Linked DNA regions of Arabidopsis thaliana. The protein of the gene in region 2 interacts with the protein of the main gene of each other region in a pairwise test. Each region holds a gene or a part of one and is shown on either strand. Other genes may lie near its edges.

Region 1 (7,217 bases), about 15 Mb from region 2:
TGCACTAAACAATATAAGGAATAAATTATGAGCTGGCAAAGGTTAAAATTTAAGACTTTAGGAAAATGAATCACAAGTTGTAAAGGCTTCAATAGTTTTATATGGATTTGACAGGGTAGATAAGCTATGTGGCATTGTCTTGGGCACATTTGATAACAATAAAATAAAATAAATACTCTTAACATATACAAGTGCATGTGAACCCACATGGATATGAGCTAGATAGAACAAGAGAAAAAATGCTGTGTCCATGACTCGGTGTAAAATGATTTATGCCACCTGATTAACAACTGATCAAAACGTAACACATTCATATTTAATATTAAATAACGTCATTTTTAATAAATATATGATATTTTATGCATTTAAAAAAGAACTCACAGCTTTAGAAACAAAAAATTCGAAATTTACACACAAAAAATACAGAGTTGTTTTTCTTTCTTTTTTAGCATTTAGTAGCAATTGTAATTTCAAATACTAAGTTTTCTGCTGACAAAAATACAAATAGCTACAATTATAATATGGTGCTTCATTAAATTCCAAAATAAATGCTACAACAACGAGAAACATAGAGTTATGTGAAGCCTAAAGTTATAAAATGTTTTGGATGTTAATTAATTCAATATGAAAATATGATGCTTTGACTGATTTTGTCGGTTATCTCTCTAGGTCTAATTATAGGCATATGAATCTCATTCAGTCATTCTCGTACAAGGTCATCACTATCACTTAGCTAATCTACAAAGTTTCAGAAGACTTGTCAACAATATACCATGACTTAATTCTTCATTATATTTTTGATGGCAAAAGTTCAATATTCAACGGATTATTCACCATCACAAGGCTTACTAGTTTAAGCACGTTTTTAAATTTATTACTCTAACTAAATAATTTTCAAATTGAAAAGAAAAAGAAAACCTACTACATATTCGAATGATATGGCTAATGAAACGACTGTTAGTAATTAACTTTTCTTGACATATACCTAAATCTGTTTTAATGACATAAACAAAATGTTTAGTTTATATTCATTTAATGTAGTTATACTATAGATCCATCTCATGCAAATCAGCATATGATATGCGACGTTATTATTTCTTCCCTTGTAAGAGTCGCAGCACACATAATTGTAGCTAACAAGTAACAACTAACACAAGTCAGACTGTTAAGAGTAATCATTTAACAAATGTAGTTACGTTAGTTGATTATGATAAATTTGTGTAACTCTCAATTAATGATTACAAATTTTAACAAGAAACACCAAACATTTTAAGTGTAGATGTGGGACACCATTACAATTCCCATTGATATCGCTTAAACTTACAAACTAACCCAAAATCATCAACTAATTCTTAACTAACATTTTTTATTTACATCTCAACCGAACCAAAATAGATATGTTCTAAGTTATACATGAATGATGCACTCAACTAATTCTTTCACACATTAAGTCCGTAAATGATTTTCCGAAACCCTCTGCATATGTCTTGATCAATACAATTTATAAAGATAGTATATCTTTCTTTCTTTTTTTATTCTTAAAGAGAGTCGCTTGAAATTTACTTTAACGATTAAAGGAAAAATGAAGAAACTTTTGTTTTGATGGCTTCACCAAATTATCTGAATTTGAATTTGAAAGGTGGGGACTAACTTGACAGATTCAACTTAGAAACTTTAAATAGACCCGTTACCTAAAATTATATTTACTCCATGGAGTTTGTAATAAGTATTTAGATACTTAGTCTTAGTCACTAATACAAATAAAACTTGAAATTGAGGAAAGACAGAAAATATGTGTCGTTGACATGCATTTTATGATTGGTCGGAGAGAAGAATCAGACACAATATATCAACAAAATTTGTTTGACAACTTTTTATAATTTACCAACATATAATAATCAGGCTCCTTCTTTTTTGTTTCTGCCGTTTTATTTGCTAGTTCGTTAGAAAGAAAGAGTCAATAGTGGATAAGTTTCATGAAATAAAGTTAAAGTTACTATATTCAAATTGATGGGCCGACCAATAGAAAAGGAGAGATATAATTTGTTTCACACTCAATCAATTTGTATATAAAAAATTTCACTAAAAAAATTAAGAAACACAAAAAAAAAAAAAAAAACTTCAACGTAGATCTCTCAACTGACTTAAAGACCAAACTATATAAAGAAATTCAAATTTAGACCAAACAATTTTGAAATGATCAATTTAGACCCCATATATTGAAAAAGAAAAATACAATCAATCGGACAAAGGACCTGGTGAAGCAGGTGAACGAGAAACCTCCTCGATGAGTCTTGTGACTTCAGGCATTGTAGGACGACTATCTGGATACTGAGTCGTACAACTTATACCGATGTTTAAAAGCCTGATCATGTTCTCATTGCTGTCCGATTGATACCTTGTGAGCTCTGGATCAAACACATCTGATGGTGATTGTTGTTCAGTGATCGATGAAACCCATCTCGGTAAATCTACTCCTTCTTCGTGTAACTGCTGATGCGTTGGAGATTTCCCTGCAAATCAATACAAAAACCAATATATGAATCAACATTTTGACCAAAAATACGGTTTTCAAGATCTCTCTGTTTTTGTGTGTGTTGTTGTACCTGTGAGTAATTCAAGAATGAGAACACCGAAGCTGTAAACATCAGCCTTTTGGGAGATTTTACGAGCATCGGTTACTTCAGGAGCTCGGTAACCATCAATGCGGTTAGGTGTAGAAGTAGGGCTGATCATAGGTGCAAGACAGTAGTCAGAGACCTTAGCTTCAAAGGATTCTGACAATAGAATGTTAGATGATTTAATGTTGCCATGAGATGTTGTCGCGTCACGCGAATGGAGGTAGCTAATTGCTCTTGCGGCTCCTAATGCTATATTGGCTCTCGTTTCCCAATTCAATGGACTTCTGCCACTTCCTTTGTTCCCTACGAATTCATTCCAAAAAATTGGTTTTAAAAAATCTGTAATCACTACTAAAGAATCAAACAATAAACAGAGTTATTTATTTTGTTACCGTGTAACAGCGCAGACAAGCTTCCTCTAGACATGTATTCGAAAACAACGAGCTTTTCGTCGCGGCTGAAGTAATATGCAATCAATGTCACAAGATTGGCATGGCTTATGGATCCAAGAACCTGCAATTTCTCTCTGAACTCTTTCTCAGGAACCACGACATCTCTCAATCGTTTCACAGCCACCACTAATCCGTGATCGAAACTGGCCTTGTACGAAGATCCGAACGTTCCTTTACCAAGTACTTCCGCAGAAGCTTTCAGCAATCCATCAAGATCAAACTCGCCGAAAGATTTCACGAAAAATGTCAGATCTTTACTCACTGCAGCAGGGTTCTTTGATACACCATTTTCAGATGCACCATTAGCCACCACCGCAGGAGGACCATTCGATTCCTTAGCCACGGCTGCTGATGAGGTCGGAACAGGAGCTGCTTCGATGCTTCTCGATTGGACGACTTGCTCTTTCTTCTTCTTTCTACAGAGACAGAACACGATCAAGAAAAGCACGAGAAGCAAGACGAAACAGCCGATCACTATTCCGACAATAGCTCCGGCAGATAACTTGTCGCTTTTCCCTTTTCCTCCAGGCGTCACAGTACCGTTTCCAGTGCCATTGACAGGGCAAGCATCTAACGGCTTCCCACAGAGCAAATTGCCTAAAAAGGCGGTTTTGGGCATACCCGACAACGGATCCGGAATCGACCCGTTTAACTGATTGGATGAGACATTAAACTGTTGAAGCTTAATCTTAATCTCCGGGATTGGACCGGTGAGTTGATTATCCTGCAAGTAAAGAGTAGCTAACCGGGTTGCAGAATTGACATTATCCGGGATCCGACCCAAGAAATTATTCTGGGCGAGATTGATCCGAATAATGTTTGGTAGAGTGAAGAGAAACGAAGGAATCTCGCCGGAAAATGCGTTTCCTTGAAGATACAAGTAACGGAGAAGAGTTAGGTTTGCGAAATCCGGCGGGAGAGGACCGTTAAGAGCATTGAATCGGAATGATAAAGTTTCGAGCTTTGTAAGGTTTCCGATGGCGATTGGTAATGGACCCGATAAACCCACACCGGGTAATCGGAGTGCTGTGACACGACCCGACTCACATTGGACTCCTCCCCAAGTACACGGTGGTGCTGTTAGATTCCACAGCAATGGACGCCCATGAACACCGTCACGAAGTGCGATTAGAGCTCGTCGATCAGCTTCTAGATCTGATGTCACGGAAACGAGACATATAAAGAAGAAGAAGACTGAGAGACCTAAATTGGTCTTGTTCTTCATCTTCTTCTTACCCAAAGCTTAATCCTTTACAACAGTGAACGCCTCTCTCTCTCTCTCTGACTCGGAGATTGGTTTTTCCGAGATTTCCGACTACGTGTAGAACAGTGTTTGGAAAGAGAAAATGTCGGAAGAAAATCTTCTCACAGAAATTTCAGCTCTCTCTATCTGTCTCGACGGCTATGGGGAGATGATGAAGGAGGAGAGAGAGAGAGGCTATTAATTGCAGACTGCAGTGAATGGAAAGAAAAAGTTAATTGTTCAATTTTTTACCTTTTTAGTTTTTACAGTGAGATACAGAATCTTTTATTAATTTATTTAAATATTCCGTGCGATTATTTTTACAGCAAGAAGAAATGAGTTTGCTGTATATTCTTACATCTTTTTATTATTGTGTAATTTAGCATTTTCAGTAACAAATCATATGATTTACATATTTAAATGCTTTTGTTTCCATTTATGAAGGAATCTGGAGAGATTTGTAAGAAGTGTTATAAACATTACATAAGTAGATAAAAGATAATAATAAATACTTAATTAAAAGATACTTTAATGTGAAAATTAAACAAATACTATCCGTTTTTTTATTTTTAATGAATAATTTAAATTGTTTAGTTATGGTTTTATTATGTACGATGGAAACATGCAACTCTTGGGAAAGTATGTTATATTATTGAACGTCTCCTAAAAATGTCTGACTTAATAATACTGAACCACTACTAATTTAAATTCCTTTCGGATATGTGGAACATATTTACGTGTTAACTTTTTTTACAATATGAAATTCTTAGCTTTGTGTCTATCTAAGTCATCGGCAGAAAAAAAATGTGTTTGTACATATATAGAATAGGATTTGAGTAGTTTCAAAATTTTACTTCCTCTAAAAGTAAGAATATATTCTGTATTAAAATGGAATAACTCATATCGAAAATTTTTGGGAAGAAAATATACAAATTAGATTACCTCATTAGTATTTTAGTACTGAAGACATGATATTAAAGTAAAACAATTAGGATTTTGATGAGACCAACGTTTTTATTTCGGCCCAAACTATAATTGATATTCAGTTAAGAGTACATTGTAGAAAGTAAGCCCATTATTATTATTGATTACGGCCCATAAAATAGGCTTATACAAGAATGGGTTCTTAAATCAAACTATATATTTGAAGCCCCTTTTATTTCATGGGACAACAATATCAGTCTACTCTACTACTACTAGCATTTTTCTTTATTTGACGAAAGAGTATAGTACTTAACTAGCATAAATTGACGTTACCAAGTTTTTAAATGGTTCTTCTTATGTCATGCAAAAAACAATTTCGTAATGTATGCTTTTTTCCCACTTTCCATTCATATAATGATAAAATTTTATGAATTCATATTTTCCGTGTGAGCATTGTTCTGTGATGTTACTTTGCGTTTGCGTATTACCAATCATATTACACAATATCCCGTCGGTCCAACTTGTTATTACAATTACAAAACATACAAGTTGGGACTATATGATAAGAAATTAAGAAGATTAGGACTCTCCCACCAATGAAAATAAAGAGCTTTCGAAATTTTACAACAAGAAAGGCAAAAATAGTGACATATATACAAAATAGCCCAGAGTCACGGGAACATAATGACCCACCAAACAATTGTAATAATTGGCTGTTATCACAAACTTAATATTGTAGTACCTATCAAAATTCTAATTGGGTGGTGCGAATACAATAATAGCTCACAGACAGTTATGATATTTGGTTTAGTTCAAATTTTTTTTCGTTAAAGTATTATAAGATTCAAAGCTTTTTAGTCCTACTATATTATTTGGGAAATACATTTTAAATATAATCTTAATTTTTGTAAGTAATTACATAGGTATGCCATTAGAAATAAAATTTTAAAGAGTAAATTAATGTATCTCTTTAAGGATTAAAAAGTCAAATACTAATTTAATTAATTAAATTTAATTTAAAAACGAAATATATTATTAATTTTCAAAAATAATAACCAATCAAAATCAACATATAAGATTTGATATCTAAATTTTAATTAATTTGATTTAATTAGAAAAATGAAATACATTATTAATTTCCAAAAAAGTAACCAATTAAAATCAACAAATTAGATTTGATATCTAAATTATTGTATTAATTTTTTATTAATTTTTTATTAATTATTATAATTCACTTCTCATCTTTATATGATTCTATTTTTGCGAAAAAATAATATCATCATTATAAAAAAATAATTAGAATTTTTTCGCATATGCCATAATTAGAATTTTTAAAAACGAATATAAATTGTTCAATACATGAAAAAATATTATAACGGGTGAAAAATAGATTTAAGAAAACTTTCTACTGAGTAACGGGTCATAATTTGAAATATTTATATTTAATTTCATACATATTATATTGAAAATTTATAATCTTATATACTATAATAATTAATAACATATTAGATTTTTTATGTGTATGATGTGATTCATTTTTTAATACAAGCTGGAAAATCCTAGAATTGACGGGTTTAGATCGATATTAATACAAGATGGTATACTACAGGTGAAACTCTTAAATTAACAATCAAACTACAAGTGTATAATCTTAAACACTAAACAATATAGATAATATCAACAAAACATATACAACTCACAGTTTACTATACATTTAAAATCAAATAAAATAATATCATATATTTTTAAATCATCTTTACAATAAAAGTTTTTAGTTTAACTAAAATATTAGCCTACCTGCGTTATACTACAGGTTAATATCTAGATTATAGGGCTTATTGGATCTAAAGACGGGTCATCAAAGATTTCCTAAACTGAAGCAAAATATACTGAATACTCAAATATCTATCTGTTACCAAATTATAAACAAATAAGTTCGTAAAACAATTTAATATTTAATATACAAAATCAATTAAA
Region 2 (8,907 bases):
CATAAAGCTTATTTTGCTTATATATACAGGGGTTTGAATCTTCTCTTGCAAAGAAGGAGAACTATATTAAGGATTTAGAGCAGGATCTAAATCAACTGAAGGATGTCAATAATCGTCAACGTACTGAAATAGAACTTCTAAATGAGAAACTAGTTGATGAAGCAAGGAGGAATAAGTCGCTGGAAAGGGATAGTGATCGTCTTCGCTCTGAGATCTCTTTACTGGAGTCAAAGGTACAGATGCTAGAGATGTGTGCTTGTAAAAAAGATTGCCAAAGAAAATATTTGCTTATGGAACTTTCATCTGCCATGGTCGAAATGAATAATAAAAGTTTTTAAGGGTGAATGGCGAATTTTATGTCCTGCATCTTATGTTTTTCTTAGGTTTCATGGAAGATTTTATTATTGTAAAAGCGAATAGAAATGCTATTTAGGACCTCTAACTTCTACCCTAGAGTTTGATCTGAACAGTAACATATATTTGGCAGCTGGGTCATGGTGATTATTCTGCCGCAAATACAAGGGTTTTGCGCATGGTGAATACTCTTGGTGTTGAAAACGAGGCAAAACAAACAATAGAGGCTTTACAAGCTGAGTTACAGAAGACAAAAGAAAGACTTCAAGCTGTTGAAGAATTAAAGAGCCAGTCTGGTAAATTTCTGATTGTCGACCTTTCCTGTTTTTGATACTGAGTTTGCTACAAGTCTACCATTCAATTTTACTCTCACCACAAAATTCACTGGAGAAGCATACCTTAATTTCTCTGTGACCCTATTCTCTACATCATATTCTATGTTTCCGAGAATAAAAGGGAGGGCCAAAATCTTTCTGTTGATCTGCCTCCGGAGGACTTGAGAAGAAATATTGTAGTGTTTCAAAAATGTTATTCTTATTTACTAAATATGCTTTACTGTAAATTCTTTTTCATGAATATTCAGGAGATGCTGGGAAGCTAGTTGACTCTCATATAACTGGAAAGATTGCTCAACTAAAAGAGCAAAATGCTACGCTTGAAAAACGTGAAGAGAGGTTTGTTACTGATAAATGTTTAACATGTCCTTTGTGCAAATATGACCTTGATTTCCCATACTAAAACATATGTGGAGCCTATGAATTATGAAACAGGTACAAAACTGTTTTTGCTGATAGAATTTCCGTGTTTAGAAGGGCTTGTTGTGAGCTTTTTGGTTATAAGGTATGCCACTTGCTCATAATTATGTCGTAGCACTCAAATTTTATTCTTTAGCATTACAATGGTTCCCTGAAGGCAATGATTCTGGATATTTCAGTTTTCTGAATGTTGACTATCACATTGTAAAATGTAATGTTCGTACTTTTGTCCATTTTTTACGGTCTATGAACTGCGCGTTTCTGTTGCAAAGAGGGATTCAGCTATTGCTATCTATAGTTTTCCTTACCTTCCGTTATTCGTGTAGATAGATGATCAAAGAGTCTTATTCATCTACAGAACTTGTAAACTTGTGAATTCCTTTTGAAAACTCTGGCAGATTGTAATGGACGAACATCAGCGTCCCAATGGAATCCCAGTGACTCGGTTTACTCTCCAGTCTATATATGCTCAAAGTGATGATGAAAAACTCGAGTTTGAATACGAGTCAGGAAACACCAGTATTCTAGTAAGTGATTCTTGTAAATTGTATAACTTTGATATGCTGCATTTGAATCAGTTAATCAACTGATACTGATTTAATTCCTTCAGAACAATGAGTATGCCTCTCAGGGCGACATAGCGAAGCAGGTAAAGTACAGACATAGTTTTCTTCCTTCATAAGCGCAGTGTTCTCAGTGAAGTGTAAAAACTCATTCTGTGTGTTTCTTGCAGATAGAAATATTCATCAGGAAATTCAACTCGATTCCAGCTTTTACAGCCAACTTAACGATGGAATCATTCAACCGTCGGACGCTATATTGAGAGCACTGCGTCCTTATTTCCAACTCTGTGTTTTGTATATTTCTAAAGCCTGCTGAATAGAAACTGAAACTCGAAAGCCGCAGCTTAAAACACTGGCCTTATCTATGTCTACCTCTGGTTCGTTATGTCTGCTATAATTGTGGTGTCAGTAACTCTATTTTGGTATGAAAGAAACTAGTTTCGATTTACTCAGAAAGAATATCTAATGTCATTCTCTGATTATGCGTTTATTACTTTATAGTCACCAAAAACAGTAACACTTGAATATCAAGCAAACAGATTTTTATATAACCATGAATTTAAAACACAAATAATACACAGACTACCTACATGTAAAGAAGATTAGAGCAAAATTGATATCGACTTATAATATAATTACATGTTTAGTTTTTATTTATTGTTTTGAATAAATGTTGTGAAAACCAAAACCCAAAAAAAAAAAACTTGTATCACCTCATTACACAATCATCCTTCCCCTGCTTTTCCATAATCAATCTCAACGAATAATTGAAATAAATGCCTAAGTGACATTGGTCATCTGGGCTTTTAATTTTTTGATATTCACATATTATTACATTGTAGATCTTTAGAGAACTCTCACGTACTTGTTTCTCCATTCTTTATTACCTGCAAGAACAAGTGCCAATTGGATTTAGAAAACAATTAGAGCAACCAAATGCAGGCAACAACGAAGACTAAACGGCTAACCTTATTCACTTGAGGGGATCAATGTGAGGGTAGAGTCCCAGGACATGTTCCGGCATGAAATCATGCCTTGTCAGTATTCCAACAATAGGCGGTCTCTGCAATACGAAAACATACGCGTTAGAAACATAAACAAGTCTAGCGAGAGGAAGAGAGAGCGAGAAAGAGACTGACCCCTGGTGTTTTAGGCACCACACACAAGTGGCGAAGACCAAGTTGCCGGAAAAGAATAGCCGCCTTAGCTAGAGACAGAGTCTCAAGCACAGTGTAAGGAGATGTGTTAGTGATGGGATGGAGATCAACATACATCTCCATCTCCTCCTCACTTAGATCCAAATCTTCAATCTTGAGCCCCTTACCTAACCCTGCTTTACCAAAGTCACGGGCTTTGCAACTTCTCAGAATTTGTGAACCAAAAGTTGTTCTCTGCTTCGAGAATTTCTTCCCTTGGAGAAGCACAAGGAGATGAGATCTCAAGGCAATCCCACATAGCTCAGAAGCTTCTGTGAAAGGTGGCTCATCAATTACAGGGAAACCATTATGTCTTGTCATTTTTAAAGCCTGCCATATTACCCCAACCTTTTCAACTCTCGAAAAGGATATCAAAGCTCCAGAAACTACGTCCTTTGCAACCAAATTGCGCATGTACGGCTCTGCATGGTCTTCCATGTAAGGCAGTCCTTTCATTGTTACAATCTGGTCATAGACCCCCCTGTTGAAACAATCTGCAACCGTTTTTGATATAAGGAGTACAAGCATCACCAGTGGCAGCATTAGGAGATTATTTGTAAGTTCGAGCAGTATAACACATAGAGAGACCGTCATTCTCATTGTGCCTCCAAGGAAGGAAGCAGCTCCGAGCAGAGAAAACAGACCTACATCAAGCTGAGATACTGGACCCAGCAGTCTACCCACTAGTCGTCCATAAGAGGCTCCAGCAAGAATGACAGGAATGAAAAGCCCAGAGGGTATGGCTATGCCGTATGTTATGATGCCAAGGCAGTACACTGCGACAAAGAAGATGGCAAGGGTAGAGATATGGAATTCATTTTCAGATCTGGATGTGAAAAGATTACGGATTGCATCATCATTGGTGTTGAGAAGTAGGGAGGAAAGGTCATTGTAATGGTTTGGAGGACACTGGAAACTCTTATAGATGCTGGATCGACCTACACTAGGGCACTTTCCCTCCTCTATGCCAATAGGACATGGAGTACACTGTGAAAGCCATGGGAGACCAAATGCGCAACACGAGCTCAAAATGGAAACTGCCATTACAAGCATAATTTTAAATCTCGGACCTTTCCTGCAAGTTATGGAAAGAACAAATTAAGAAAATCGAAAAGAGGCAAAGAAATGATATTATGAAAGAGTAACTCGTTGGAAAATGACTTTATGAAAGAGTTAACTTGTTGAGAAATGACGTACTCGTTTATAATGCTATATGTGCGGAGGACTTTGTCCACAAGGTAGTTGTAAAGGCTTCCAAGCACACCACCAATAACTCCAAGGAATACTATTGCTAGCAAATCTGGAGTGCTATATAGCACTGGTCCCGAGTTTACATCAAACATGATGAGACCTCCTTTCCCAAACAGTCCACATCTCCCAGAGCGACAGAACTCAATCAAACTTCGTAAGACCACTGCTACAACTGCGGTAGTGAAGAATGTCCTCCAGAGAAGGGCATTCCTCCACCTAACGATATTAAAAAAGTGAGACATAATCTTTTCCAAATGGATATAGCAATATACGCAAACCGTCTAAACTCTACACTATGTATCACTTAGATTTCCTCGCTCACTAACTTCCATTTGCATAAAGAAGTCATGTTGGATACATTATGTTTTCAACTAGACAAACATGGTGACCTTCTTGCACTTTTGCATTAAGACTTCTAGCTGGGGAGAAGCTTCCCCTTTCAGAGTCTGTCTACTACAATGACTAGACTTGCATAAGGTATCACTCCTTGGATTAGTTATAAGGAGTTAGAGAGAAACAGAAAATACCATGAAGCAGCTTCTTCAAGGGCGAAAAGCACTCCTCCAACTGGAGCACGGAAGGCAGCTGCTACACCAGCAGCAGCCCCGCAAGTGATCAGGTCTCTTCTGTCTCTATCGTTTTTGAAGAATCTGAGCCACTTCCAAGTCAACCGGTACTTTTTGGAACCACCTTGTCCAAGTAAATTAGCAATGCAAGCACCAGTATGAACCATAGGCCCTTCTTTTCCAACTACAAATCCGGCAGCAACTCCAAATATAGAGCCAAAGATCTACCAATACGAAATATTTCGTATCAGAAAAGGCCACAGAGATGAACAAAGACATCAATGCTAAATTCAGGATGAACAAAGACTGCTTGGAAAGTTGTTTGGGGATCTTACCTTAACAAAGAGGGTGCTTGGAGCTAATATTGAATAAGCATCTATACCATTGAGATATGCTTTAACCTCAGGTATGCCAGATCCTGCCGCCGCAGGAGCAATAAAAGCACAGAGTGAAGCAGCAGCAGTTGCCAAAATTAAGTTACAACCAGCAAATGCAAAAAATGCCTGGAAATATCTGCAGTATTTGAGAAACATCCGATGTCATTTATCATTCTGATCCACACATATATCCCTGTGAGCCTTAATTCTCATAACAGTATTAACCATTAAGAAATTTAGATATAATCAGTGAATAAACAGTAACTGAAACAGGATAGAAAGTGCTAAAAAATGGCGTAGAAGCAGAGATAAACAACAAAAGCTAGACTTACTTTTCCTTGAGCATGAGATTACCGATGAGCAAGAGTTTAAATCCAGCTATATTCTCAACACCAAGGTTATTCAAAAAGCCAACAAGTCCAGTAGCTAAACCAATAAGAAAAGCAAGCGCCCATTTGAGAAACGTATACTGAAGTATCTCAATCTTCTTCCTAGACCTCCAGTCTTGCTTGAAAAAATCATTTTCGAAGATCCTGCCAAATAAAAATCCCAAGTCAAGATCCTGATATGTTTACATAAGCTATAATCATTCACACCAAATTAGGCAAGACACCAGTAGGAGACACACACAAAGACAAAAAGTCAAATTCAGTCTGAAACTATGATTGCATCATCATAAAGACCCCAAAAAGATTTGCACTTTTCTCAATCTAATAGATTGTATAGCATACCTATTGCTAGGTGAAGTGGCTATGATGTCTCTCAAAAGCTAAAAGCTTCAATTTTTACCCAAAAGTATTAAAAATGAAAACATTATGATTTAAAAATTATACATGGGATGGGACCCAAAATGTTACATAATCCAAAACTTCATAGACTCATAATCAAATTTGAGATGAAGTTTAAAAACTAATCGAAAACATTTAAGCATATTAAAGTCTAATTGCCAAAGTTAAAAACTTTATCCAGAAAAAAGAACGAAACATCAAGTTATGTGCAGAAGAAAAGAGAAGAGGGAGAAAAAGGACAGACTCGTAATCAAGGCTTTCGATGGGACAAGTATTAGCTCCGACAATAGCGATCTGAGAAGTTGTGTTCTTTCGATTCCTAGCGAGAAGAGGCTGTCGAAATCCGACAGATCCATCGTCTAGAATCCCAGATATCTTCCTCTCGAAACCATGTAAAGCTCCTCCTTCAACCTCTATATCATGATGGTCTCCTTCGTGCCGATCATCCATCTCTCCTCCACGATCTTGTTTTTTTAAGAAAATAAAATTGTTTGTTTTCGATTTCCGATCAGATTACAAAGCCACAGAAATGGAAAGCTATATAATTGGGCACGAGATTCCTGGAATCATGAACCTCTCGCGCTCAAGCAGATGCTAAAAAGTCGATTTTTTTATTGTTTTTTTTTCTTTTTTGTTTTTTTTTGAGGGAGGTCGTAGAGTGGTATGGGTCAGGAATTTTGTTTTTTTATTTGATCCTAATTTAGGCAAAACTAAACTCTCTTTCTTTGTTATGATTTTCATAAGGATATATTCTTCTAAATAAATAAAAAAGTCAATAACAAAAAAAAACTTGCATAAATAAATTATCTAATTATGAAAATTTTCATAGTATTGTTTTTGCCCAACAAATTTGTATACAATCGTGATATTTTATGGGGGAAAAAACTATTTGTTTTTTATATATATTATTTTGAATTGATTTTTCATAAATAATTTCTCTCAAATTTTACAACTGTGTCCGATATACTTATATAAAAATAATATATGTATATTTTTTTCACATGATCTTGTAAAGTTTGTTTTGATTCTAACTCAATTACAGATATTTTTGAAATCTTACTTCTCATGTGTGTTTATTTAGTTTCTAGATATGAAAATTTTGTTGTTAAAATTTTATAATGATTTTTAGTTCCCAAAACTGGATTTCAACAAGAAACCAAATGAGCCCAAACTAGGGTAGACATCGTCCAATTATACGAACCACTGTGTATTTGCCAGACTTGTTGAAACATCACACAATTCAAGAGAAGAACAAAATCTATTGGATTTAACATTAAAACCAAAACAAAAAACAACATCTATTGGTTAGAAAGTCTTTTAAACTTTTATGAGAGGTGGCTACTGGCTAGATCCAATCAAATTAAGATGTCTTTGGTGTAAATCAGTTGATCCTTCTCTTTTTTTTTTTTTTTTAGTTATTAGATCAACAAGGTATGCATTCACTTTTTAACAATTCTTCTTATTCATGCAAGATGGAGAAACACGATAAAGAAATGCAGATATTGTTTTCCTTTAGTTATGGAACCTGACCTTGACATATTTTATTATTGCAAAAATTTATGGGGAAATTGATCGGATCCAATCGTTTATTGTCTCATCAAAATCATGGTTTCCTACCGAATTAATTTCTTGATTGTGTTGTAATACACATGTTGAATTCATTCCAAGGAACACTCTCAAGTTTTAATAGATTGTGGGGTTAGTTTTAAAATCTGCCACAACTGTATAATTATTAATCAACTCGATCTTTGTTTTGATGGTTTTTCAACATTTGATAGGCCAGTCGACATCTTAGTGTCTCCACTTCTTTTATTTTGAGTATAATGGTGAAAGCCACAACTAAGATATATTAACATCCGCAATGAGTTAATGTACTCACGATAGTTGAACTTTGTTTGGAAGCTCCTAACTCTCTGTTTTTTTTTTTTTTGATCAAGCGGAAGCTCCTAAATCCTATCTAGCTAAAAGACCATCATCTCCAATGTATGTTTTTTACTCTAGAATATAGTAATTCTAAAATAGAGTAGGGGTTTTCTCAAATGTATCATTTTATTATATTTTATTCTAAAAAGAATAGAGTAAACATTAGAGTTACTCCACATATATATAGAGTAATCATATCCTTTACTGTGTTTTAGAATGATGTATAGAGTGTGGAATTAAAAATGATTTTACTCTAATAAATATAGAGGGAAAATTTAAGTGGAGTTGAAGACACCCTAAGATATCTACAAAAAAAATGATTGTGTTAAAACTATAGAAATCTTCGTTGACATGTTGCGGAATATGGATGCTAGTGGTACAAGCCATAACCTATATCTTTGTATACAAGAAAACAGTTTTATGGAATGCTTTTGAAATCAAATCATATGAGTTTGGATTTAAGGGCCGTTCGCGGGTGAGAGCAAGCGACGGGCACAACTGCAAGAGCACCGTGGGAATATCCTGAATATTCCAAAGGCCATACCATATACATGGTTGCAGATCTGAAGGATCTAGGATTTAAACTTTTAGGGTAGTTGCATTAATAACGTGGACATCAAGGTTCTAGGATAGAATTTTGAATCAATCTTCGTCGACTTATTGTCAGACTACCATTATTTATCAACTACAACGTGCATTTACTATATAAAAAATAGTTTTCTAGATTATTAATATAGTGTAGTGAAGTCTTAAACGCAACAATATATAGAACAGAAACATCATCAATATAAAATTAAGCATGTTTAATTAAATGATACATCGTCGGAATTATTTTTTATGCATCGGATAAACGTGTACGCATGAGAATGAACGTTTGCGTCAACTTTATCCCAAACATAAAGAACTAAAGAAGGATTCATTATCCTTTGCACAAAAGAAAAGAAACAAGAAAAAAAAATGATTCTTTTATCCATTAGAAAATAAAGAATTGAGCAGATTACACTATAATGCAATCCATATAATTTAGTCCTATACTTGTAATCATCAAATATATGTTAAGAAAATTAGGGATGGTTGAAGCTAGCCGTACTTAGATAATATAGTGGATGATATCATTGCCATAAATAAATTAGC
Region 3 (7,149 bases), on a different chromosome or scaffold from region 2:
GAATTTCGTTTCTCTTGGTGTTAAAAGGAGTGGGAAGAAAAGAGATTAGAGCGACGGCCTCCATGAGTACTTCGGCGGGATTTGTGCTCAATGCTAATGCGCTTGCGTATAATCCAAATCCGGACTTACGTTCTCTGTTTGTCACCTTCTCCAACGGGTTTCCTCTCACAGAATACCAAATCTTCTGTTACTTCAACTGGCAAGTGTAACCCTAACTCATAAAATCTATTAAATGGATGATAGTTTTTGGTTATGTAGTGCAAATGATTTGTCACAAGGCGATTTTACACTATCGTGAAACTTACTTTACCTTGCATCTTAGAAGGTTGGCTATGTGTAGTAGAAAGTAGACACACGTCTACGAAGTCTATAGATTGATAAAGATCTTAGTTTAGTTTTGTACTAATAGATCTCGACTTGCATCATAGAAGGTTGGCTATGTTGTAGTAGACACACATCCACGATGTCTATAGATTGATAACAATTTTGGTTTAGTTTGTACTAATAGATCTCGACTTGCATCTCACAGTCACGCTTCTTGATACAATAGTTATTAATTAGTTATACGAACAATTTGTTTTTTTAATTACATCTTTTATATGATTCAATTGGTTCAATTATGTGTATATGTGTGATGATGATGATTAGGATGTACCCGGGGAGTGTGATGGAGGTGTTTGTGCACAAGCCTACGCCAACAGCGAAGGTTGCTGGGCAAGGCTTGTTCGGGAAGGTGATGTTCAATTCTCCTTTCATACCAGATTTCGTGCTGGGGCCTTATGAAAAGGTTTGCTTTTCTGTCTACGGACGTCCCATGTACTGCAGGAGGTTTGTTAGTCAGAGACCAAGAAACGCCAATGCTTAAGTTTAAGTGAAACCTTTTCGTGGTTTCTTGAATAAGTTTCGTTGTTGTTTTTAATTTTATGAATAAAGGGAGTGAACTAGTCTCCCATATGGTATGTAATCACCTATTTTATTTCATTTCAATGTTGTTGACAAAAACTATGTTAAAGTAATATGTTTTATTTTAAGTGGTTGACTATATCTAGTTATTGTTTTTTTTATTTCATTTTATGTTTTTCTTTTTTTTGGTATGATTTTTAGATATCTTTTTGTGATTATGTTAATTTTAAATCCATATATTGCATTTTATTTTAGATAAGGAAAATGAGTTGGAGGATGGCTCTGAATATTGACTACTATATTTAGTCACTAAGATTGAATCATTGATTTGATATTAGAAACGAAAATTTATTATATAGAAAATAAAGTAACCGATTTTTTTTAAGTATGCCTCTGCAGAATGGATGAAAATATATTGTAATAATAATATACATAGTCTCGTTTGATTTCGTGTATATAGCAAGTAGGAGTAGCAAACTAGCAATCTACAATTTTCGGGAGAGATTTCATTAGTGTGATTTTTGTCTTTGTGTGTCACTTATAGAACGGAAGCCAACGTCCCAAGCAAAGTCAACACGAGGATAACGACTGCGCCAACGGTGGCAGTTCCTGTCCAAAGCCCAAAGGTCTTTGAAGTAGACTGAGAGTGGCGAAGGATGTCCTTTTTTTGTATTCTGATAAAGTTGAAACGATCCTCGTAGTATTTGTTGAGCCTCTGGGCTATGTCGATCGTAATAGTGAGAGCCATAATCAACAATCCCTAAACACAGCTTGTTAACCTTGTACGATACAAATTTTGAGCGTCCCAACTAGTTCTTTATTATAGCTTATATTAAAAAAAAAAAACACATATATATATATATATATATATATATATATAACAGAGTATAATTTAATTTAGTTCAATGTTTACTATTTGAGCCCGATCAATGATTGATTAATGGTAAGCGACATTTAACGACATATTTTCTGTTTATTTAGTTTTTTAAAAAATATACGTGTTAGTTATAATAAGAAACACAAAAATAATTATTTACAAACCCTATATATAGAATGCATTTTTTTTTAAAAGGATTTTTATAAATTTTGAAAACTAAATAAACGAAAAATATCGTTAATGACCGTTTACTGTTTTAAATATAATTATCGTTAAACATTAATAAACTACTGATCGAGGTCAAATTTGACAACTTGAAAGTTTATGTAGATAACCTAATTAGTTGGAAGGTTTACATGAGAATATGGAAAAAAATGTAAACGTTCTTGTAGGAAAATTGTTTCAACTTGAATATTTTATATAAAAACAAAAAAATTGGAGGTTTTAACGGAGAAAATGTTTTGAGAGATTTTTCTGAGAATTTTAACTTGAAGATACATAATCAAAAGATGACGTTAGCCATGATGGACTAAATAAAGAAAATATGAAAAAGAAGCATTATTTGTGGAACAAAGTCGAGCAAAGAGAAAACCAAATTAAACATTGGAGAAAAAAAACAACTATTGTTTGTTTCGTATATAACAAGAGACAATCTACGGTCCTCGGAACATAGCCGGAGGCGGTGGAGAATTATTATCCTTCTGCGTCACCTGGAGTACGGAAGCAACCGTCCCAATCAAAGTCAACACGAGGATAACGGCGGCGGCAATGGTGGCAGTTCCGGTCCAAAGATCTTTAAAGTAAACTCGCCGGAGTGTGGCTATGGATCTATTGCGACGGCTTTCGTAGTGTTTGTTGAGTCTATCGGCTATACCGTAATAGTGAGATCCAAAATCCACAAGCCCTAAACACAGCTTGTTTACCATTTCCGCCACCGATGCTTGATGTCCTAACCAGTTCTTTATAACTCCTTGTAACGGAAAATGTGAAGATATGTTAATTAGGAATCTCATAAATTTGTCTGACTAATAACTTAATCTTTAAAACCAAGATATATATTTTGTATAGAGTTTTTACCTTTCTTGACGAGCAAGTCAACGTCTTGGTCGGTGTCGATAAGAAAATCCAAGAAAGCTATGTAGTTACAAACATAAGCAGTGAGAGGGTAATGACATTGCTCGAGGGCCATTAAGTTCCTCATAATCCTCTCGGTGTTGTCGTCCGCTAAGAAACAAGGTATTTCCAAGATTCCGCGTTCGAAAGTTATCACCAACGATAAATCGTTTTTTCTTTCCAGACGCACAAAATCCACTCCAGCACTGTCTAGTTTGTCTGCGTTGTGCAGACTCTTTATGATCTCCGGTGGCTTATCCTTTGCGCTTTTGATTTGTTCTTTTGTCAAACAAAGTGTTTCCACACGGACACGTCTGAACAAATCTGTAAAATGACGGAAATTCGTTCCTTCTTTGATCTCTCCTTTCAACCTAAAAGCTCGAAGGATAATGTCACGGAAAGTTTCCTTGGTTTTAAGATTTGCGAAAAAAGGTTTAGAGAGTTTCTCTAAAAGGACATAAGGGAGTTGGTTCTCGAGTAAGATTAGGTCTTCTAAAATAGTGGTTATGAGACAAGGCTCCTGGAAAATAATATCTTCTTCATGGAAAAGAATTTCTTCTTTCTTCTTGATGTTTTGAGTAGTTTCAGCCTGAATAAAGACCCCTAGTATGAACACCGAGTCGAGAAGGATCATATCAACGAAATCTTGAGGTTTGATCCAGTCCGTTGACTCGGCGTAGCTTTCTCTAACGAATTTCTCACTTGTTTCTATGATCTCCTTGAAAACTTCGATAATTTGATCCCCATATTTATTTGCAATAGCATTAAGGTACTTCTTCTTGTGAAGCTCCATGTTCATATAGTCCAAATATCTGAACAATGTAACATATTATATATTTTCCACATAAACACTATAATCTAGCATGTTATAAATGTAACTATAACACACAAACGCAAACATAAAAGCAGAAACCAGCCTTTTTCTTCTTCTGTATGGTTAATATATGCACACGTACCTTAAATCGGTTTTGGAAAGCTCAAGGGCATTAGCTTTCTTAGAATGTTGAAGTGGACCGATGAGAAGCATCTGAGGAGTGTATGCCTCTGGATTAACTCTCCTTAACCGGTTAGGTACTCTATAGATGCAACAATACTCTTTGCTAAACGAAGAAGGCCATATACCGGAAATCTCAGATTCATAGCAAGAATCCGGTTTATACGGTTTAGTCGTGACAGAAACAATCTTTGCTTTCTCAGCTGTTCCGTGTTTAGAAACCAATGGATCACGAAATCCTTCGCTCCATCTACCCACTTTACCAGATCCGGTTTCATTCTCCCTCGTACTTAGCTGTATTCCTTGTTCTAGATCCTCCATCAGCGGTTGCTTCTCCTACAAGTAAGAAGACATTTTGAAACTTCATTTATCTAAATTTTATGATAATCAGAGATAATTCTGCTTTTTTTTAAAAAAAATTGTTCAATTTACAAAAGTGGAAGAAAAGAAGAAGATAAATGAATTCTTTGATAAAAACATAATTAAACAAATTTAGGTTTTCCTCGAACCTTGGCCATGTATGCTGATATAGAAGTGATAACTAACGATATTTGGATTAAAGGCACGTTTCTTCTTTGAATATATATTTAATTGTGCGTGGGTTTTCACACCACGAGGTTAGGGATTTATAAATAAGATCACAAAATGACGTGAGTGTGAAGCTATCTAATTCAAGCATTTTTATATTGCTTCTGCCTTAGGGAAATTTATCCCAACTTTTTTCATTCCTTTATATGTTTCTGTTTAAATCATCTTCCGAGCAAAGAATTATGCTGTCAGGAGGTGAAGAATAACAAACAAACAAAAGTCCAACGCGGAACACATTGGACCATCTGATGTTCCTCACACAAGTTTCCTCAGGTTTCTTAACAGTTACTAGAGCCCATCATAATATCAGCCCATTGGGCTTTAAGTCTGCCCCTATATATCATTTGGGTCGGAGCTACAACTGTCAAGACAATCTTAACCAAACTACAATTTCGGCGCTTCTTTTTCTTTCCAATCATAGGCAACTAATTATTTTGTCAGGTGATACTGATACTTGCCATGTTAACTTTTTTTTAACGGTTTCGAATACCTTAAACTATGAGCGATATACCTGTTGTTGGATTCGTTTTGTGAAAAAAAAAACATATCAATTAGAGACCTACAAAATTCTCACAATAGTGGTGGGGGTCTAAATGTGACAAAATACATTATTCATTCATTTATACCCAACGTATGGATGAAGGACACCTCATTGGTTATCTATAGTATTTAACTTTCATTGACTATAAATATTAATTTTCCAAGTAGAAAAAAACGCAAAAGTTACAAGAGCGAGCATATAATCCAAAATAAAGATGGACATATAATAATGAAAAGTAAATAAAGAAGCAGAAACTTCAAGAATTATTCGGGGGTGGAAAAATAGGAGAAAAGAAAAAAAAAAAAAAAGTGGATCATAATCAAATTTTGTCTCTTTAAAGATGCAATTTAATATGACAAATAAAATTATGGAGACAAAGACAATTCGTAGGGCAGCCACTAATAGATATATAAATGATGTGATGTAGACCTATTTCGCTCTTAATTTTGTTCTTCCTCTACATTATACATACCTTTTCCCTTGCATGACTGGATTTGTTTATAAATATAAATCTTAATTTAGTTTTCACTATGACAAAAAGGTATTCATGAAAGGTCTTAATCTCTGTTTTTTATTTTTGTAACTATTTTTTTTTATATTTGAAAATATTGATGTCGATTACCAACGTTAGTATAAGGTTTCTGGTTTTAAATTCAAAATAAATTGGTAATAAACATTTGTGTTGTAATAAATACTCCAAATCTATGTAATCCAACGGTTTCGGGATTAGATCAAATGTTAAAATATCCAACGTGAAAGAAACCTTTAGTAATCATCAATTTATTACTAATGTGCATGTGTAACGTATTAAAAACTTTTGGAGACTATTTTCTTATCATTCAATTATATTAAAAGAAAAGTCGTTTACATTACTAATTTGTTTATGTATTTTATATAAAAAGGAAAAGAACAAAAAAAATTGCATTTGAAACACCGAGTCCTGCAGTTTAATAAAAGAAGAAGAAACAGAGAGTCCTTAGTTTTATATAGAACACAGAAATTTCAATACATGTTTTCATAAATATTTTGAAATTATAATGGGTCTTAATATATATTAATTACAATCGTGTTATTATTATAACTAGAATGATATTCAGTCGGACCAAAAGCAAGATTTGGAGGATCTGAATTGGTGTGGCCCAAAGGGATGTTACCACTCAACGAACTTCCACAATTACCAAAAAAACTATAATAGGTACGTTTATGATTTCAAAGAAAAATACCACAAAGAAAAAAACATTTTCTTGGATTACTATCCTGTTTTTAGCTGAAAAACTTTGTCATCATCAAACGTTTTATAAAAGTATCATGGCTTTTTGCAAAGATATTTCAGTAAATAACTTCATTATTATTTTGTTGGTTTTCATTTTCATATAACAATATACTTAAAAAAAATGTGAATTTGAACTTTGAAATACAAACAAGACATTTTTGATAATTTCTATTTTAAAATCAGATTCTCGCTAATTTTATTGTCTCAACTTTGTATTGCAAAATTCATCTAAATCAATGAAGACAGAGTTTATAAAAAACATTATTGCTAAATTCTGCGAGAGTTCCTCGCACTCAAAGGGGAACAGGTAAACTAAGTTGCACTATCAAACAACACAAAGTAGTAGCTCAATACTAGTAGTAGCTGTTATAAAATAAAACCAAGCTGGATCTATGAGAAAAGCAATACGTCTCTCATGACTCTTGCCCATCGCCTACTAGCTAATGGAAAATTTTCCAATTTATATTTTATTTTAATTTAATACGATTACCTCTTTTTGAGGGAAACATAGAATTGAATGAACAAAAGAGTGAGAGGGAACATCATATTTAAGTTTCTGAACCGCTTCTCCCTTACCCCTTTTATACGTATCGATGCATTATATGCATATTTGTACTTTGATTTATGTCTACGTATCGATGCATTATATGCTAGTATATTATTCACACTGCGATATATCAATGTATATATAGTTTATATATGAAGAAATACAGAATCCATTTTTTCCACGAAATAGAAGGAATTTAGAATGATGAATTAGGACCACTTTTTTCCCCTTACCGTATGGTTACATTCACAGATTTTTTCTTTTCCTTTTTACCTTTTAGCATAATATGTGACTGTCAATATCTTTAAAAGTT
Region 4 (6,975 bases), on a different chromosome or scaffold from region 2:
GCAGTCTACATATCATCAGAAGGTAAGAAAACGTCATCTTACTAGTATATTGAGTCTCCACCCGTTCCTGTGCCTGTTGGATCACCCGTTTTTGCTATGAAATCCTTTACAGTGTGGATAAGGCACTGATGGTAGTACTTTATCCTGACAAAACAAGTAAGTTAAAACCCTTAAAGATAGAGATGTTTCTTAGGTATAGGCAAAAGGAACACTTACTTGCACAGCTTAAGAAAATTATAGCAGGTGCTAGGGCATTAATCCGTGTAGAGATCAAGAAACACAATCCCTAAATCCGTGTCAATTAGAACTGACATGTTTATTAATTTCTCGAACCTGAAACCAAAAACTGAACGGTGGAAGGCAATTGAAAAGTTAGACTACTGGATAAACTGATCTTTACAATCCAAATCGAATATCCAAACACAAGTGTATCTCCAACAATCAATTACTCAGTTTAATCCCTAAATTATCTCATTTCCACTGATTTCCTTTGGGAATTCTCCAGAAAAGCTATCAAATTTCTCATCTAAGCATCAAAGGAACGATATAGCCAACCCTTTGCAAAGTTGCGGTTACAAGAAACATCAACCTGACCAAGATTCGCGAGCAATGTCGTCTTACTATCGTAATTGAATCAGAGTAGGATAAGAAGAGATGATCAATGAGATATAGGAACTAACCTCAGAAACAGATAGCGAGAGAAGAAAGGTTCACGGCGGCGATCTTGGAGTAGTCGGACTCTGTTGCGACTGAGAGATTCTCGAGCAATGTCTTCGTACTATGGTAATTGGAACGAGTAGTAGAAGAAGTGATGGTCGATGAGATTTACGAGCTAACCTCAGAACCAGAGAGCGAGAGAAGAAAGGTGCACGACGGCGATCTTGGAGTAACCGGAAACTGTTGCGACTGAGAGAGATTCTTCTGTTACGCTTTTAGCTCTTCTTTACGCGCCTTAGGCCTCTAAATAATCCCTTATAAAAAATCATTCAAAATGCTATAACATGCGTGCTGTTTTCAGATAGAAGAGATAATAAAACTACGTGATGTTTTCAATTCATAAGTACAACCCGGTTTAGAGATGGTTTGTTGATGAGATTTAAACCGGAAATAAAACCGATATTCTCTCAACGAGGCTATCCCTTATTCGACGGTTGCGAGCACAGCCACCGCCAACAACCCGAGACCGGAGCCACCAATCCCGCAAGCCGGAGGAACCGTATCTTACCGCAGGACCTAACCCCATCACATGAACCGCCGTCGCTGAAACTCCCGAAAAGAGAAAGCGAGCACGAAATACCTCCGACGATAGCCGTCATCACCCCTCAGCTGCGGGATCCGCCGCTCGATTTCCGTCACAGGGATGATCGGAGCCGCAAACCCATACGCACGATTGACCTCGAGCCACCATCATCTATCAGCTCGGAATCAATAGAAGTGGCGACCGTGAGCCACCGTGAAACCCTAGCCAACTCCGCTTCGAGCCGGAGAAGAAACTCGGGGAGCTACGTCGATCTCCTCTAGTCATTTCTAAACTGCGATGAAGCAGGTGAGAGCCGCCGCCGCCACCTTCTACATCCTCCGACGATCGGGGAGGTGAGGAAACAAAAATCAAACTGACTTACGAACCAATGTAAATGATTATTATTGGGCCTTTTTGGGCCCATATGTTTTGTCTTACATAAAGTATAAGGTTGTTTTTACATAAAGTAGCTTAATGACTGTTATTACATAAGATGTTTCTTGTTGGCGTGGCCAAAGTCGAAACGAAGACAAGTATTCCTAAACAATTTAAAATACAAGAGAATTGAAAATGAAAAGCAGACTAGTATGACCAACAAAGGAATAAAATTATCCAATTAACCAAGTTAAAATGATGAACAATTTCCAATTACAATCCTTGGATTTGCCTAGGAATATTTTCAGAGTGGAGACAAAGCCTATCGAAGATCTTTAGCGTGGTGGAGGTAGAACTGTTTGTTGTGGTCGCTTCTGTGAAAGGATAAAATCTGCCCATCTATTCAGTTGTGGAATTGTCTGTGAAACTGCTAGCCATGAAAAGCTGCATAAATAATTTACAAGTCGTAAATGTTAAGTACTTAAGTTGATCCTTTGTAACTAATAAGAAAGTTACCTTGCTAGCTTCAGTGGCAGACTCGACTTAAAATAGCCTCCCTTGAGGAGAAAATGTGTTGAATCCTCTGTCATAGTCAGTCCTTGGAACAAAAGAATGTAAGATAGACACTTATCAACTGAAAGAATAAACTAGACCAAGTATTAAAACAATAGTTGAACACTTACATAAGTTTAAAATTCTCAACATAGCCTAGAGAGGTGTAAACTCTCGTACGTTTGAACATTTCAACATCTTGTATTTGAACTCTTGTGAGACTCTTGCTCTCAAGGTTGAAGTAATAAATGTAAAATGCGTATATTAGACAGTACTGTGACAACACAACTTCACCTCCATCAGTCATTCCAACAATGGCTAACTCCGTATGCTGAACTAAGTTGTTCCACAAAGGAGGCAATGCATAGATACATTTGGTCCATATATTTTTCTCAGCATTTACTAGAACCCAGAACCTAAGACGTTTTGGAGACAAACATGTAAACTGAAGTGCACCTAGTTTACCCTTGTAGTTGATTAGAGTACAAGAGTCATTCATCAACATGAATACATGTATGTTGATAAAGCTAAACTTTTCAGACCTCACATCAAAGCACACTACCATAGAAACCCTTGCCCGCATATCGAACCCAGCTGTATAATACAAAATACCATCTATGCATATTCCATCAGATTTAGGATAATGGGGTTTGCATTGGATTGTTCTCCATAAATGGTTTCCATTCTCCAATGTCAAAACTTGATGCTCATCACACGTATTTGGGATATCATCAGACTTGATGCACAATACCTTTAGCTGTTTGCGGACCGGATCATATCCTAAATAAGGTCTTGTCTCAGTATTAATACTCTTCAGTTCCACTTTGGGTAAGGATACGGACTCTCCCGTGACTGGGTTACAAATTACCATAGTATCTAGATTTCTCTTACCTCGGCGACAGATGAATCCACAAAGAGGAGAACCAATTTCAGAAAAAGAATCTGTGGTATGTTGAACATGATAACGGGTGGGTACAAGAGACGTATTCTCGTTACATGGAATCTGAGGGTGAGGTGAAGAGAAGAAGAACAAATTGCCATCATCATCTTGGAAGGTGAAAAGAAGCAACGGTGGACGAATCGAAGACATAGTCATGAACAACTCCTTGAAATCAGGACGACAAAGTATGGATTCCCAGAGTTTGGATACGCAACGAAACCTAGCTATAGACTTTGCAGGAACTCTCGAAAAGATATCCATGAGGAGATCGATCGGGATATATCTAAAACAGGAAACATAACCCACCTGGAGAGGTTGCCCCTCTTGCATCATTTGCTTACTGAGAGGAGCTAAACCAGTATCAGACTCCTTGATACCTGCAAGTTACCCGTATATGCAATTTAATCATTCGGTAAATAGAAGTCACTAATGAAAGTAACACCACTATCTCAGTGTGCACAAACCACATAGATCGTTGATCTTCTCGGTGAGTTCCTTAATTTCTTTCTCCACTTTCTTGATAGGTGCAGAGTAAGGCACTAACCCCTGCGAAGGATTGAGATTTTAACAAGGTCAGCAAAAAAACATATGGAGACGCAACATATCAAACCAAGTATAACTATGAACGTTTTTTTTTCACTTGGATGACTTATTCAAACAGTGAGGCAGAGTCACCCAAAGCTAGTTAGTCATATAAGCACAAAAATGATCTAAATAGGATCATAAAATAGCAATTAGCTCGAAATTACTCATGAGAAAACATCAAACTGGTTCGCAAAGAAACAAAATACAGCAAAATTTAGGGTTCTAAAAGGGTACACTTACATAAGTCTTGACGAGAGCGATATCATCTTCGTCAAGCGGATCGTCTACAATATCTCTCACCATTTTTTTTTTTTTTTTCGGATTTTGATCGGAGATTTGAGATGTGAGAAGAAGAAATCGAATTACACCAACAAGAGTACCAACTTTGTCCGAGTTATTAAGGTCTAGTAAGTAAGGGCCACGTTAGGTGCCTTGTTGGAGAGGCCAGAGAAAATAATACCACGTGTGAATTGGGCTATGAAACGCGGCCCATTAGCCCAATATGCAGTGATCCGGGTCGGGTCATTAGAGCGAGCCGGGTCTCGTTATCCATCGCCTCCCTGGTTGCTGCGTCAAAGCCAGACACAAGTATCTTCGTTGAAATTTGCTTTTTGTGTGGCTTATCCTTGTCTGTCAAATTCCTGCAAAAACTCTCGCCTCTCTCAGACAGTAAGAGGAACATATTTCCTTAATGTATTGTTCCGTATAATCTTACAAGACATCCTGGTTGGTGTTGCAGAGAAGAGTGTTTCAAAGTTTCTTCCTTTTTCGTTTTCCTGGTCTGAATGAGCTCCCAATGCCTTCTTTAGGTACCTTTTCTGGTAAAGTTTCCAGATATTTACCTCTTAATTTTCTGGGTTTGTGTTTGGTTACTGTTTAGAATTCTACTTCAGTATTGAGACTCTCTTTCTTCTCAATTTTGTTTCTTTTCTATTGGATTTCATCATTCTTGAGTATCAATTATTTGCATTTGCAATCTTGGTCTAAATGCGTATAAGAAAAGACTAGTGATTCGCACAGTATCTAGAGAATGTTTACTAGCTAATGGAGATGACTCTTTGGTTTAATCTTTGCAGATATTGCTACTATCCAACCTTCATTTCAAGCTCATCTTGTTCCATTGGGGGCTCAGAGTATTATCCATGCTAAAAGTCTACCTAATCCATGGAGACAGTCTTGTTTCTCCAAGAATTTGAAATTTTACACGGGTCATAGTCATGTCCGAAGAGGAAAAGTTCTTATTACTGCAGTGGCCACTCTTGAAACCAAGTATCCGGCTCAAAAAGAAAACGAACGGAGCTCTTCTTTGTCTTCTGCTTCTTCGAAATCCTCAAATGGAAGTGCTGATGATGGCGAAGAACAAGTGGATGACAGAGAAAAGTTGAGAAGGATGAGGATTTCTAAGGCAAATAGAGGGAACACTCCTTGGAACAAAGGCAGGAAGCATAGTCCAGGTGAGTAGTTTTTGCTTATTCGTATCTTCAGCAATCTATCTTCAGTTGCTTCTAATTGGAAACATTTCATAATCTTTTTTCTTTTGCGTTTATGCAGAGACCCTACAGAAGATTAGAGAAAGGACAAAGATTGCAATGCAAGACCCAAAGGTGATGTCATGTAAGAATGGTTCTATATGTTTGCTCTATGCATCAGAATTTTCAACCCCTCATAGAACCTTTGTGTCTTTGTCCTTGTGCAGATCAAGATGAAATTAGCGAATCTTGGGCACGCACAAAAGTCAGTACCGGTTTTTCGTTTGCTTTTAAACCTGTTGGAGCTTTTGGTTTTTGTTATCATAATACTATCTTCCCAAATTTGCATGATTTTTACAGCAAGGAGACACGGATGAAGATTGGAGAGGGAGTGCGGATGCGATGGGCAAGGAGGAAGGAGAGGAGAAAAGTGCAGGAGACATGTCATTTCGAGTGGCAAAACTTGTTAGCGGAGGCTGCTAAACAAGGATATACAGACGAAGAAGAGCTTCAGTGGGATTCTTACAACATCTTGGATCAACAGAATCAACTGGAATGGCTGGAAAGTGTTGAGCAGAGGAAAGCCATTAAAGGAGCTAAAAGTAACAGAAGAGCGCCAAAATCTCCTGAACAAAGAAGGAGAATTGCAGAAGCAATAGCTGCTAAATGGGCTGATCCAGTAAGTTGTCTAGTCACTTGATCAAATCAAACTTGTTTGATGTTTTGTTCTTGGTCATATTTAACTCAGTTTGCTTTCTCTTATCAGTCTTACCGTGAAAGAGTTTGCTCCGGCTTGGCAAAATATCACGGTATACCTGTTGGTGTCGAGAGGCGTCGTAGAAGACCAAGGAGCGATGCAGAACCTAGAAAGAAGACTCCTACAAAGAAAAGTACAAGGGATTCAGAGTTTGAACGTCAAAGCCAAGTTCAAGTGGTGAAAGTAAGGAAGCGCAAAACACCTGCGTATAAAGATCCTTTGGCAAGTTCAAAACTGGAAATGATCAAAAGCATCAGAGCAAAACGAGTGGCGGAAGAATCAAAGAAGATGGATGCTGTGGAACGAGCAAGGTCAGTACACTTAAAACAGAATTGTTAATATTTCTCTGTTTGCAACTGTGAGCAGAAGTTAACAAGAATTAACCTTTTCTCGCCTCAGGCTTTTGATCTCGGAAGCTGAGAAAGCTGCGAAAGTCCTCGAGATTGCTGCTTTGAAAAGCCCGGTTGCTCAAGCATCGTTGTTAGAGAGTAAAAAGCTCATAGCAGAAGCAACACAACTGATTAAATCTTTAGAGATGAGGCAGATAGCTTCAGATGAAGATGGGACTTACCCATTTCTTCTTTCACCTCAGCCTAATGACAGTGAATCTGAAACCAAAGATACAAACGATCAAGAACGACCAGGAGAGATTAATGGAACACACACATTGCAGATCAACGGAGAGAGTCTTCACATGAACATGAGATCTAACGATTTACCGACTTTCGTTATAGAAGGTACTACAAACCAGTTTGTTTCTGATATGGAATCCAACACATCCCAAGGAGGTAGAGAAGATATCAAACTCGGGATAGTTGGGCAACCAAACGGAACGAGAGTCCATCCACCAGCAGAGTCTAATGGAGCTATCAGTCTTGCTGAGAATCATCCTCTTCCAAATGGTTACCACGGGATTGACGAAAAGGCTGCATCTTTGGAATCAGGAAACGTAACGAAGAAGTGGGTTCGTGGAAGGCTCGTCGAAGTCACAGAAGCAGCCTAATGTCGTAGCAATTTAGCAGAGAAAAGTCATATTTTTCAATTAGTAATTCAAAAT

What was found.
Region 1: the proteins of CLC-C (region 2) and AT5G16590 interact in a protein complementation assay, tested with the Arabidopsis thaliana proteins (one large-scale study listed by BioGRID).
Region 3: the proteins of CLC-C (region 2) and AT2G44930 interact in a protein complementation assay, tested with the Arabidopsis thaliana proteins (one large-scale study listed by BioGRID).
Region 4: the proteins of CLC-C (region 2) and AT1G53790 interact in a protein complementation assay, tested with the Arabidopsis thaliana proteins (one large-scale study listed by BioGRID).

The regions. Positions count from the first base shown.
Region 1 is NC_003076.8:5,428,943-5,436,159, reverse strand, and holds AT5G16590 (Leucine-rich repeat protein kinase family protein), read right to left. Parts: upstream 4,577-7,217; 5' UTR 4,299-4,576; coding exon 3,014-4,298; intron 2,925-3,013; coding exon 2,607-2,924; intron 2,514-2,606; coding exon 2,239-2,513; 3' UTR 1,974-2,238; downstream 1-1,973. UniProt on the Arabidopsis thaliana protein: Might be involved in early recognition of growth promoting fungi. Appears to be specific for P.indica.
Region 2 is NC_003076.8:20,285,844-20,294,750, forward strand, and holds CLC-C (chloride channel C), read right to left. Parts: upstream 6,590-8,907; 5' UTR 6,301-6,589; coding exon 6,095-6,300; intron 5,596-6,094; coding exon 5,395-5,595; intron 5,199-5,394; coding exon 5,021-5,198; intron 4,910-5,020; coding exon 4,647-4,909; intron 4,336-4,646; coding exon 4,066-4,335; intron 3,944-4,065; coding exon 2,812-3,943; intron 2,736-2,811; coding exon 2,646-2,735; 3' UTR 2,641-2,645; intron 2,560-2,640; 3' UTR 2,212-2,559; downstream 1-2,211. Other genes in the region: MAD1 (mitotic checkpoint family protein), read left to right, coding at 30-233, 488-650, 938-1,028, 1,125-1,194, 1,508-1,636, 1,720-1,758, 1,843-1,932. UniProt on the Arabidopsis thaliana protein: Voltage-gated chloride channel.
Region 3 is NC_003071.7:18,527,267-18,534,415, forward strand, and holds AT2G44930 (transmembrane protein, putative (DUF247)), read right to left. Parts: upstream 4,487-7,149; 5' UTR 4,406-4,486; coding exon 4,397-4,405; intron 4,224-4,396; coding exon 3,850-4,223; intron 3,706-3,849; coding exon 2,858-3,705; intron 2,751-2,857; coding exon 2,434-2,750; 3' UTR 2,222-2,433; downstream 1-2,221. Other genes in the region: AT2G44925 (uncharacterized protein), read left to right, coding at 63-199, 649-865.
Region 4 is NC_003070.9:20,077,400-20,084,374, forward strand, and holds AT1G53790 (F-box and associated interaction domains-containing protein), read right to left. Parts: upstream 4,066-6,975; 5' UTR 3,996-4,065; coding exon 3,933-3,995; intron 3,654-3,932; coding exon 3,572-3,653; intron 3,485-3,571; coding exon 2,299-3,484; coding exon of another isoform or gene 2,295-2,298; exon of another isoform or gene 2,214-2,294; coding exon 2,159-2,213; 3' UTR 2,132-2,158; intron 2,060-2,131; 3' UTR 1,682-2,059; downstream 1-1,681. Other genes in the region: AT1G53780 (26S proteasome regulatory complex ATPase), read right to left, coding at 309-314; AT1G53800 (muscle M-line assembly protein), read left to right, coding at 4,489-4,513, 4,769-5,146, 5,244-5,296, 5,389-5,426, 5,522-5,840, 5,928-6,229, 6,318-6,921.